Linked DNA regions of Macaca fascicularis. The protein of the gene in region 1 interacts with the protein of each later gene in a biochemical or structural test. Links are inferred from orthologs where the notes say so. Each region holds a gene or a part of one and is shown in the gene's direction. Other genes may lie near its edges. The genes, in order: BIRC2, CASP3 and CASP7.

Region 1 (4,352 bases):
GTGCTGCTCCTTCCGGACTCGGGCGGCGCGGGGAGGGTGGGGACGCGCGGGCCCGCGGGGGCCCACTTCCCTGATGTGGCGGCCGGGCGAGGAAGGAAGGGGCCAGAGGCCCTTCGGCCAAGGGTCGAGGGTCGCCGGGGGCTCTCTGCTTTCTACTCTCGCCAAGGTTTTATTGGATTCGGAAGCCCAAACTTCAAGACTTGCAGTCAAAGCCGTTTTTAAAATATGACTTGTTTTCAAACCTCCTCTGGCCGCCGCCCACTCTTCTGGCCCTTGGACTTTGACCAAGATGTTTTCTCGCAGTTTTTGCAAGGTTTTAAACAGCCCTCGGCGTTCTTTTAATGTAATACATTGAAACGAAGATATTTCGGTGGCGGTGATATTTCATATTTCATAGTTGCCACTGCGCTCTGTCATTCCAGTAGTCTGTTGTGTATTGTGAGAAACAACTCTGGGTAATTATTGGGTAAATCCCATAGTTTCTATTCTTTTCTCTTCCATCCTATCCCCTGTCCAGCTGCAGTTTGCATAAAGAGAATGCTGCAGTACGGTGCTCGCAGATAAAAGTCTTTCGTTTAAAGATAGTATATAAAAAATCGCGTGTAATTAAAGCAATCATGCCAGTGGGCGTCAGGCCACTGTTTCACAGGCCGCTGTGTTAGGTTTTGTTTTCGGTTGTTTTCTACCGTCGTTGCTTTGAAATTGTAAGGGATTGGCAGAGTTTAAGGGTTTATATTAATGAACTCGTGGTACATTTTACTGCAGTTTTCCTAGTCGCGGAGAGACTTGATATTACAAACTAACGTTGCTGTCTGATTACTGCTGTACTGCTGTTGACAGGGTTTAGTGGAGTACCTTGTCGCTCTCTCTGCCTTTTTCACCAATGTTCCTTTGCCTCCAGCAGAGTGCCAAAGATACCTTTAGGTCAGAAAAGGGGAGGAGAGCAAGGACAAAATGTTTTCCTGTGTGAAAATTTCCATCTGTCTCTAAAGTTGTGCTTTTTAAAGACACGTATAGTTAGTGCTATGGGAGTATGTTGCATTTATTTATTTTAATTAAGAGCTTTTTCAGTTAGAAAGTTGTGACAAATTGCTGGAAATTAAGATGTGTTATCTAAAATGTAAATTATTCTTAGACTTTAGTGAATAAATTGAAGAGTATGTAAGTTCTATTTGGCATGCAAATACGGTTTTCTAAAATACCTTTTGTTTTTTCTTTTCAGATTTACAGCCCTGAAGAATCCTCCTCTCCCTTTCCCCTTGCAGTAATAAATCCCATTTTGGAGATCTCGAAGCTTTATAAAGGGATATAGTTTGAATTCTATGGAGTGTAATTTTGTGTATGAATTATATTTTTAAAACATTGAAGAGTTTTCAGAAAGAAGGCTAGTAGAGTTGATTACTGATACGTTATGCTAAGCAGTACTTTTTTGGTAATACAGTATTTTGTTAGGCGTTTCTGATAACACTAGAAAGGACAAGTTGTGTCTTGTGACAAATTGATTAATGTTTACAGCATGACTGATAATTATAGCTGAATAGTCCTTAAATGATGAACAGGTTATTTAGTTTTTAAATGCAGTGTGAAAAGTGTGCTGTGGAAATTTTATGGCTAACTAATTAAGTTTATGGAGAAAATACCTTCAGTTGATCAAGAATAATAAAGTGGTATACAAAGTTAGGAAGAAAGTCAACATGCTGCAGGAAATAGAAACAAATACAAATGATATTTAACAAAGATAGAAGAGTTTATAGTTTGTGAACTTTAAGCCAAATTCATTTGACATCAAACACTATAACAGGCACAGGTTCAACAAAGCTTGTGGGTGTTGACTTCCCCAAAAGTTGTCAGCTGAAGTAATATAGCCCGCTTATGTAAATACTATGGTGATAAGCTGTGTGAACTTAGCCTTTAAATAGTGTGACCATATGAAGATTTTAATTACTTTTGTTTATTGGAATAAAATGAGATTTTTTGGGGACATTATATTAAAGTGCTTATAGGGAAAGAAGCCTGCATGTAATTTTTTACCTTGTGGCATAATCAGTAATTGATCTGTTACCCAGGCTTCATAGCTTGTAACCAAATATAAATAAAAGGAGTAATTTAGGTATTCTGTAGTTGCTTAGAATTTTGAGAATATAAATCTCTGTGAAAAATCAAGGAGTTTCAACATTTTCAAAAGGGCATCCACCTCTCAGGGCTTTAGGTTAGTATTACTCAAGATTATGAACAAATAGCACTTAGATTACTTAAAAGAGTTACTACAACCCCAAAGACTTGTGTTCCAAGTAGTATCTTGGTAATTCAGAGAGAGACTCATCCTACCTGAATATAAACTGAGATAAATCCAGTAAAGAAAGTGTAGTGAATTCTACGTAAGAGTCTATCATTGATTTCTTTTTGTGGTAAAAATCTTATTTTGTGTGAAGAAATTTCATGTGACTGTTTTAGCTATCAAACAGTACTGTCACCTACTCATGCACAAAACTGCCTCCCAAAGACTTTTCCCAGGTCCCTCGTATCAAAACATTAAGAGTATAATGGAAGATAGCACGATCTTGTCAGATTGGACAAACAGCAACAAACAAAAAATGAAGTATGACTTTTCCTGTGAACTCTACAGAATGTCTACATATTCAACTTTCCCCACCGGCGTTCCTGTCTCAGAAAGGAGTCTTGCTCGTGCTGGTTTTTATTATACTGGTGTGAATGACAAGGTCAAATGCTTCTGTTGTGGCCTGATGCTGGATAACTGGAAACTAGGAGACAGTCCTATTGAAAAGCATAAACAACTATATCCTAGCTGTAGCTTTATTCAGAATCTGGTTTCAGCTACTCTGGGATCCACCTCTAAGAATACTTCTCCAATGAGAAACAGTTTTGCACATTCATTATCTCCCACCTTGGAACATAGTAGCTTGTTCAGTGGTTCTTACTCTAGCCTTTCACCAAACCCTCTTAATTCTAGAGCAGTTGAAGACTTGTCTCCATCGAGGACTAACCCCTACAGTTATGCAATGAGTACTGAAGAAGCCCGATTTCTTACCTACCATATGTGGCCATTAACTTTTTTGTCACCATCAGAATTGGCAAGAGCTGGTTTTTATTATATAGGACCTGGAGATAGGGTAGCCTGCTTTGCCTGTGGTGGGAAGCTCAGTAACTGGGAACCAAAGGATGATGCTATGTCAGAACACCGGAGGCATTTTCCCAACTGTCCATTTTTGGAAAATTCTCTAGAAACGCTGAGGTTTAGCATTTCAAATCTGAGCATGCAGACACATGCAGCTCGAATGAGAACGTTTATGTACTGGCCATCCAGTGTTCCAGTTCAGCCTGAGCAGCTTGCAAGTGCTGGTTTTTATTATGTGGGTAAGAAGCAAATAACTACATTTTATCATTTTATTTTGATTTACATATTAGAACATAATGTGTTTTCAATATTTAGTCTTTTTTTTTTTCTTGAAGGTCGCAATGATGATGTCAAATGCTTTTGTTGTGATGGCGGCTTGAGGTGTTGGGAATCTGGAGATGATCCATGGGTAGAACATGCCAAGTGGTTTCCAAGGTAATTGTTTTGAAAAAGGTATTTGTACAAAAAACTCTGCTTAAAAGAAGTAGGCATGCTTACATGATTTAGTTTACCGTTAAATTATAACAAAGCCTCTTTTGTGCCGCTGGGGAATTATCCTTCTAAAAGATCACATTTTAACTTTAATTGTTTTGTTGAAAAATATTATGCAGTCTTCTGTGTACTTTTGTAAGTCAGTTACAAGTATAGCCATACATTTTATTTATTGCCCGTCTTCTTTTAAACAGTACTTAAGGATTACAAAGACATATAAAATAGATTAAAAAGAAGTTAGAAAAAGGTAAGAACAGGAAAACAAGAAGGGACATAGAATGGATGCAGGAATAAGGCAAATGTAAAAATGCATATATTAAGAGCATATCTTGGCTGGGTGCAGTGGCTCACACCTGTAATCCCAGCACTTTGGGAGGCCAAGACAGGTGGACCACCTGAGGTCAGGAGTTCAAGACCAGCCTGACCAACATGGTGAAACCCTGTATCTACTAAAAATACAAAAACTGACTGGGCATGGTGGCACACGGCTGTAGTCCCAGCTTCTCGGGAGGCTGAGGCAGGAGAATCGGTTGAGCCCAGGAGGTGGAGGCTGCAGTGAGCCAGGATCATGCCACTGCACTCCAGCCTGGGTAACAGCGAGACTCCATCATCTGACTGCCCATTTTAATTGTAATTGTAAGTTTTTTTTTCTGTACAATTTTCTTTTTTTATAATCTGTCATTTACCTCTTTTTAGCCACTTTATCTCTAGCAGTGTCTTTTTA
Region 2 (4,172 bases), on another chromosome or scaffold:
GAATGTCGTGCTCACGTGTTGGAGAATTCTTCTGCGAAAACGATTCACAGTTTGCTTCAGGGTCTAAAATGAGTTCATGACCCAAAATAGGAAGGGGATCAGTACGGCAGTGTATAGCACACCCTTCACGTAACTATTAATAACTCCATCTTAGGAAAAGACCCCATTTTATATTTCATAGGGCATTTGCCAACAAGGATACTATACTTTAATAAACAAGTAAAAAACTAGTCCGCATCCACTCAGGTAAGGACACAAACAAGCGCCCTCTTCCACTGTCAGTTCTCACCCGGACTCTGCCTTCGGCAGCTCCAAACAGTCTTAATTGACGCTGTCTCTGCAGAAGGACCTCTCGGGCCCAAACCAGGCTTCTTCTTCTCTTCTTCACTTCCTCTGGATTGGTTGTTCATCTCTTTGTCCTCTCTCTTTTTTTCCTCGGGATGTTAAATGCTACTTTGTTTGCTGTGGGATGCTTAACATGTAACGTTTATATATGGATTAAGTACACTACTGCGTACGGTTTGTAGTACTGACTGATGCGCGGAGTGGCTTGAGCCCGTGTGTCCAGCATGCGTGGACCTGCTTATTACTAGCCCGGCACCCTGGCGACAGGAGGCTAAGGCTTTTGATTTAGGGAGAGGGACCTGGGGGTAACCCCAAGAAAGGCCTCAGGTCACCGGAGGGGGGACGGAAATTACCGGAGGGCGTCCCGGCCCGCTCCTCTTCTTCTCAGAGCTCACACTGGGCAGCAGGCCTGGCCTTGTCTCCCTTCTAGGTCCCCGTTGGGCCTGGCGCGGTTTCCAACTCTTCCTCAAATTACCTCCAGAATCCCGCGCTGGGAGCGGAAGCCCGCGGACTCTCAGGAAGACCCAGCTTTCAAATCCGGGGCGGGGGAGCGGGGCCGGGCCTCGGGGGCGGGCCTCGGGGGCGGGCCTCGGGGGCGGGCCTCGGGGGCGGGGCCTCGGGGGGCGGGGACCCGGGCGCGGGCGCGGGCGCGGGCGCGGGCGCGGGCGCGGGCGCGGGCGCGGGCGCGGGCGCGGGCGCGGGCGCGGGCGCGGGCGCGGGCGCGGGCGCGGGCGCGGGCGCGGGCTGCAGCGGGCTGGCGGCTCCTGGGGCCCAGCCCGGCCCTGGGTTCTCGGGCGGGCGGGAGCTGGGGGACGGGCCCCAGGGAGGGGGCGCGCGGGGCCGACAGGGGCGGGCCGGGGGCGGGGCTAGCGCTGGAGCACGTCCCCAGGCGGCGGGCTGCTGAAGCGGTGCAGACGCGGATCGTAACGGGTGGCTGCTGCTGTGAGGCGGTTGTGGAAGGTGTGAGAAGGCTGTGCGGTGAGTGCCGCGCTCGCTCCGGGCGGTCAGCCCTGTCCCCGCTCCCTGCGTCCTCCCAGGCCCAGCGCCCGCCCGGGGACCTGGGCGGCGGAGCCTTTGTTTTGCCACCTCACCCGGGGCGGCAGCGAGCAGTGAAGCCCGGGGCCGGGGCCGGGGCAGCCAGGCAGCGGGTTAAGGCTTTTGATTTAGGGAGAGGGACCTGGGAGTAACCTAAGGAAAGGCCTCAGGTCATCGGAAGGGAGACCTGACCCGGGGGCGGGAGGCTTGCCTGGGGCCGGGGAGGCCAGGCAGCGGGAGGCCGGCCCGGGGGAACCGAGGCCGGGGCCGGGAGGTCGGGCACGGGGCACCGAACTCCGAGGGCCAGAGACCTGGCGGCCGGGCCTGGGGCCAGGAGGCCGGGCCAGGCAGCGGGAGGCAGCGGCAAGCTGGAAAGCAGACGGTGCTACCGCCGGCGGAGGAGTGGCCCCGGGAAGCGGTGCGGCGAGGGCTGGGGCGGCCGGGTGCTGACTGTGAGGGACTCGCCCTCGGGGCTGATCCTTCCAATTTTGGGCGAGGCTTCCGTCTCTGCTGCCTTCCATGCCTGGGGCCTGGACTATCCCGGGTTGACTGTGTGGTTTAGCTCTTCCAGAGAGCTAGTTGCAGGGTTTAAAATCCAATTCCTTTTCGGCCCTGCAGAGTTTCGTGAGTGCTCACAGCTCATCCCTGTGGCTGTGTCTCCGTGGCCACAGCTGATTGGCGTCGCCTTGAAATCCCAGGCCGTGAGGAGTGAGCGAGCCCTGCTCGCGCTCGGCGCTGTTGTTTTCAGTGGGTGTGCTCTGCACCTGCGTCTTTCCCCCATTCTCAGTAAGTGGCACCCAAGCAGGAAACCGGAAAACATCCTTCTCGCCCCCCTCTCGCCCACCTACTTCTTTTCCCGCTTAGTCACCAAGCCTTGTCGACCTTGTAAACGTCTGCCAGGTCTGTCCACGTCTCTCCATCTCCACAGCAGCCTCTTCCCTGGTCTCTCCACCTCCAGACCCGCCTGCTCCTTTGTAGTCCACTTTTCACAGCACAGAGGGATCTTTATGAAATGAAAGTCTAGAAAGCGCGTCCTTTGCCCTTAGGTTAAACCCAGCACTTAATACGGCTGACAAACCCCAGTACGTGTTGGGTCCTGAGTGCCCCCACCCCTCCCTATCTTTAGCACCGATTCACTTTCTGCACAGCAATGCTGACCTTCATAGCTAGTGTCTGCCACACCTCTGCATTCCCCTTCTCCCGCCATCACATTTGATTAGAAGTAAGAGCTGCTACTTAAACTTCTGTTTTCATTAAAACAGTTCAAGGTTCAATCTTCCTCTACTGTGTTCTTTCTGCAGCCAGCGTTCCCTAAGAGAGATGTGTCATATCCTCTGCAGTTGCTTGTTTACTGTCTTCCCTGCTAGATTTGCAAGCAAACTCCAGGAGGGATGGACTTGGTTTATCTTGGTGTCCTTAGAGTCTTTCACCAAATGCGGGCCCTGGCACAACGCAGTGAATGCCCATCCGTTGTGTTTTTACTTTTATGCCCTATCTAGAAAAAGTAGACCTGGTTTAGGATTATTTAGCAAATAATAGTTAGAAAAGAAATGGTAGAGGTGACATGGAGTCACTGAAACCATGTAAACCTGCAAGATAGCAGAAAGAGGGCCAGGAAAGGTGGTTAGACTAGACTGTATCAAAATGGGCTCAGCCACTGTGAGTGTGCGTGCTGTGGTTACATCATCTCTAAAAGTGAAATGTAAAGCTTAAATCATCTCTATCACAGCCCGATGCTTGGGCTTTGGTTTTGCTTTGCCTTTTTGTAAAAGAAGGTTTTTGAAAGTGAAAATATATTTTAGTGAATGCACGAACAGTTTATTGGAGTATGGCAATAAAACCTGTTCAGAGTAAGAGACATTAGACATTGTACCTAGTTAAATCAGGTTTGCTTTTGCTATCCTGAATAAAGGCCTTGACTCTTGCCTTTTGAAGAGACTGGCATCTGATATAGGCAGTTATAATGCTTCTTCACTGTTTTGCTTTCAGACCTCATTTAACACAATCTCCTACTGCTTCATCCCCCTACAAAGCAGTCTTTATTTTCATGAATGATATATTACATTGCTTCTGGTGCCTACTATTAGATGTTTAAGCTCTGCCCCAAAGATAGGAAGCACTGGTATTTGGGCCTAAAAAAAGATGTGAGAATTCTTAGATTTATATAATGTTCTTTCTCTGCATGTTTTGTTCTTACCGTCACATGTTGCCTGTAGGGCTTCTTTGCATTACAATAATGCAATCAAGTTACCTGATATGTATTGGACACCGTCTGGCATCTGCTTTGTTGAGCCACTTTTGAATGCCAGTGAGCATCGGTATAAGCCCTGCATAGAGATAGGGTTTGTCTCGTCCACTGCTTGATACACTCAGGGTCTAGTATAGTACTCTGCACACAGTTGGTGTTCAGTAAATTGTTATGGTGCAAATATCAAATGAATAGATGCTACTGAATCTGACTTTTGGCAGTTTCAGTCTTCCAGACAGTAGGGTTTCTTCAAGCGGTTTTAAACCTGAATCTGATTCTGCAAAGTAGTCATTCTTGGTGGGAGTGGTGAGCCTTTAATGTTATCTGTAATTTTTATAAAAAAGCATTCAAGATCCTCCATTTTACACTTATATAAATCATTTAGATCTGTGAAGGCTTTCCCGTTTTCTCCTTTTGTCCCTCCAAAAACACTATCCTAGGACTTCACTTGGCACAGGGAGGACAGAGCTTTTGCACATGGTAAGTGCCATTCTTTCTGACTTGTGTCGTAAACTCGGAGACTTTGAATAGTGGGGAGTGCTCT
Region 3 (3,645 bases), on another chromosome or scaffold:
GATTGAGACCATCCTGGCTAACATGATGAAACCCCATCTCTACTAAAAATACAAAAAAAAAAAAAGAAAATAGTGGGGCATGGTGGCGGGCACCTGTAATCCCAGCTACCCGGGAGGCTGAGGTAGGAGAATGGCGTGAACCCGGGAGGTGGAGCTTGCAGTGAGCCGAGATCGTGCCACTGCACTCCAGCCTGGGCGACAGAGTGAGACTCTGTCTCAATAAAAAAAGAAGCTGCTGTAACTGAGCCTAAAATTCCAAACGACATGGGTAAGAGAAGGGCTTGTCGACGGAGTACTGAGGGGCCGGATAGCCCAGTGCATTTGGTAAAACTCGGGGCTGGATCGCAGCGTATATCAGTCTTCTTGGGCTGCTATAGCAAAATACCTTAGACAAGGTGGCTTAAACAACAGACATTTATTTCTCTTAAGTTAGGGAGGCTGGGAAGTCCTACATCAAGGTGTCGGCTAAGTCACTTTCTGGTGAGGGCTCCCTTTCTAGCTCATAAATGGTCACCTTCTTGCTATAGCCTCATATGGCAGAGATTGAGAGCAAGAATGAGTGAGGTCTCTCGTGTCTCTTCTTATAAGGACACCAATCCCCTTGGATCAGAGCCCTACCCTAGTGACCTCATCGGACTTTAATTACCTCCATAAAGACCCTGCCTCTAAACACAGTCACATTATGGAGTGCAGCTTCGATAAATGAATTTTGGGAAGACATAGTTCAGTCCATAGCATTGGATGTGACAGGGCATGGCCAGGATCAAACCAGGACAGGTAGGCAAGTGGCCCTGTCATGGCGGGCCCTGTGTGCTGTGTCAAGCAGCCTGAACTTGACCCAGATAAAGTGGTGCAAGCAAACTGTTTTAGGTTAGGGAGTTATAGGATGAGATTTGTCCTCCCAGGGCATCAGGCTCTCCTGGCCCTGCCCCTCAGACAGTTGGGCATTCAGCTTCCTCGTGCCTCTGGATTTCTTCAGCAAGGTCCAACTCTACTCCCATGTACCCCAGCAGCAGGAACACATCTCAGAAATCTTCAAGGTTCCCTGCAAATTCCTTCTCTAGTAGATTTGGATTCGAAAGTAGCACTGACCCCCAAAGGGTAGTGAGGAGTTCCAGAGTTATGGAATAGACCTCCAGCATTTCCTTTGGAAGTCTGCATGTGCAGATCTGTTTCACACTCATGTATCTGATATATATCAGGTGGGTACCTCCATCAGGCTAACACAGGAGAGTACCCTGGCACCATCCACCAAGGCTGGCCCTTAGTGATGTTGTCTGTCATAGGATTTCCGTAGTGAAGTACCCAAAGCATTTTCTAGCATCTTCATGCCAACCCTCTAAATCTCAGATGTTTGCTCTCTGAGCACACCAGCATAATTCTCATTAATGACTTGTGTGCAGAGTAGAGTGAAATCATTTCTGAAAAGCAGGTGTAAAAGCCCCATAGAGTCAGTCTCATTGGTGAGTGGAGCAGCTGTCAGAATTAGCTGATTTGATTATCTCCTTTCTTTCCTGTTGAAGGCTATTACTCGTGGAGGAGCCCAGGAAGAGGCTCCTGGTTTGTGCAAGCCCTCTGCTCCATCCTGGAGGAGCACGGGAAAGACCTGGAGATCATGCAGATCCTCACCAGGGTGAATGACAGAGTCGCCAGGCACTTTGAGTCTCAGTGTGATGACCCACGCTTCCATGAGAAGAAGCAGATCCCCTGTGTGGTCTCTATGCTCACCAAGGAACTCTACTTCAGTCATTAGCCATATCAGGGGTGCATTCTAGCTGAGAAGCAATGGATCAATCACTAATGAATCAGATTTTTTTTTTTTTTTTTTTGATGCTCTTGAAGTATTCAGAAATTCTCCAGAATTTTCATTTCGGGAAAATGTATTGATTCAACAGGGAAGAAACTTTCTGGTGCTGTCTTTTGTTCTCTGAATTTTCAGAGACTTTTTAAATAATGTTATTCATTTGGTAACTGTGTAACTTTCTCTTAAGATTAATTTTCTCTTTGTATGTCTTTTACCTATTAGACTTAATACATGCAACAAAAGTGACCTCTGGAGAAAGCTTGTGGCTGTGTCCTCTGTAATTGGTGGTAACAGTGGTAGGCAGAGTCATGTTTGCACTTGGCAAAGAGAATCCCAGTATTTGACAAAACACAGCCAAGGGGATATTTACTGACCTTTATTGCAGAATGTGGGTATTGAGTGTGATTTGAATGATTTTTCACTGGCTTAGGGCAGATTTTCATGCAAAAATTTCCAGATAAGAGGAGAAAAAGCTAAATGATTCTGATATGTATCCATCAGGATCCCGTCTGGAAAACAGAAACCATTCTAGGTGTTTCAACAGAGGGAATTTAATACAGGAAATTGACTTACATAGATGATAAAAGAGAAGCCAAATAGCAAGAAGCTGTTAACACACCCAGGGCTGTGACGATAATGGGAAGAGGTTTGGTTTCCTGAGTCTAGTAGTAGGATCATCCAGAGGAGCTGGAACCATGGTGGGGGCTGCCTAGTGGGAGGTAGGACCACTAATGGATTGTGGGAAGTGGAGCCATGACAAGGACAAAGCCACTGCCTGAGATGGATTGAACTGAGTCAGATACAGAGAATACCTTGGTCTCACCTCTCCTGCCCTCACATCTTCCACCAGCACCTTACCGCCCAGGCCTACCTGGAAGCCACCTTACCAAGGGCCTTGGAAGAGCAAGGGACAGTGAGGCAGGAGAAGAACAAGAAATGGATGTAAGCCTGGCCCATAATGTGAACATAAGTAATCACTAATGCTCAACAATTCATCCATTCAATCATTTATTCATTGGGTTGTCAGATAGTCTATGTATGTGTAAAACAATCTGTCTTGGCTTTATGTGCAAAATCTGTTAAATCTTTAAAATATATCTGGAACTTTTTAGATAATTCCAAGCCTTATTTTGAGTAAATATTTGTTAATTTTAGTTCTATAAGTGAGGAAGAATTTATGGCAAAGATTTTTGGCACTTTATTTTCAAGGTGGTGTTATCTTTTGAAATCTTGATAAATGACTGTTTTTTTCTGCCTAATAGTAACTGGTTAACAAACAAATGTTCATATGTATTGATTAAAAATGTGGTTGCTTAATTCCTAACCTGTCCGGTTTGCTTTCCTTTTGAAGTCATTTATGACAATGGAGAAATGAGAAAACAGGGTAAGAATTGACCCTATTGGCTGGACGCAGTGGCTTACGCCTGTAATCCCAGCACTTTAGGAGGCCGAGGTGGGTGGATCATTTGAGGTCAGGAGTTCGAGACCAGCCTGGCCCACATGATGAAACCCCACTTCTACTAAAAATACAAAAAAATTAGCTGGGAATGGTGGTGGGCACCTGTATGTAGTCCCAGCTACTCAGGAGGCTGAGGCAGGATAATCGCTTGAACCCAGGAAATGGAGGTTGCAGTGAGCCAAGGTCGAGCCACTGCACTCCAGCCTAGGCGACAGAGTGAGACTCTGTCTCAAAAAAAAAAAAAAAAAAAAAAAAAAAAAAAAAGATGAAGAAGAATTGACCCTATTGACTTGACCTCAATATATAATATAATGTTTTTGAAGTTAGTACACTAATAAGTAAGTAATTACTTGGGAAGCCAGGACTCTTCACATAAAGGGTT

Evidence for each region.
Region 2: the proteins of BIRC2 (region 1) and CASP3 form a complex in vitro, tested with the Homo sapiens proteins (3 studies listed by BioGRID, with this or other methods). The link is inferred for Macaca fascicularis from reciprocal best matches to the Homo sapiens genes BIRC2 and CASP3.
Region 3: the proteins of BIRC2 (region 1) and CASP7 form a complex in vitro, tested with the Homo sapiens proteins (2 studies listed by BioGRID, with this or other methods). The link is inferred for Macaca fascicularis from reciprocal best matches to the Homo sapiens genes BIRC2 and CASP7.

The regions. Positions count from the first base shown.
Region 1 is NC_088388.1:101,357,477-101,361,828, forward strand, and holds the start of BIRC2 (baculoviral IAP repeat-containing protein 2), read left to right. Parts: upstream 1-1,452; 5' UTR 1,453-2,480; coding exon 2,481-3,375; intron 3,376-3,471; coding exon 3,472-3,571; intron 3,572-4,352. UniProt on the Homo sapiens protein: Multi-functional protein which regulates not only caspases and apoptosis, but also modulates inflammatory signaling and immunity, mitogenic kinase signaling, and cell proliferation, as well as cell invasion and metastasis.
Region 2 is NC_088379.1:189,420,327-189,424,498, reverse strand, and holds the start of CASP3 (caspase-3), read left to right. Parts: upstream 1-1,255; 5' UTR 1,256-1,323; intron 1,324-1,998; 5' UTR 1,999-2,166; intron 2,167-4,172. UniProt on the Homo sapiens protein: Thiol protease that acts as a major effector caspase involved in the execution phase of apoptosis. Following cleavage and activation by initiator caspases (CASP8, CASP9 and/or CASP10), mediates execution of apoptosis by catalyzing cleavage of many proteins.
Region 3 is NC_088383.1:122,773,770-122,777,414, forward strand, and holds the end of CASP7 (caspase-7), read left to right. Parts: intron 1-1,523; coding exon 1,524-1,753; 3' UTR 1,754-3,128; downstream 3,129-3,645. UniProt on the Homo sapiens protein: Thiol protease involved in different programmed cell death processes, such as apoptosis, pyroptosis or granzyme-mediated programmed cell death, by proteolytically cleaving target proteins.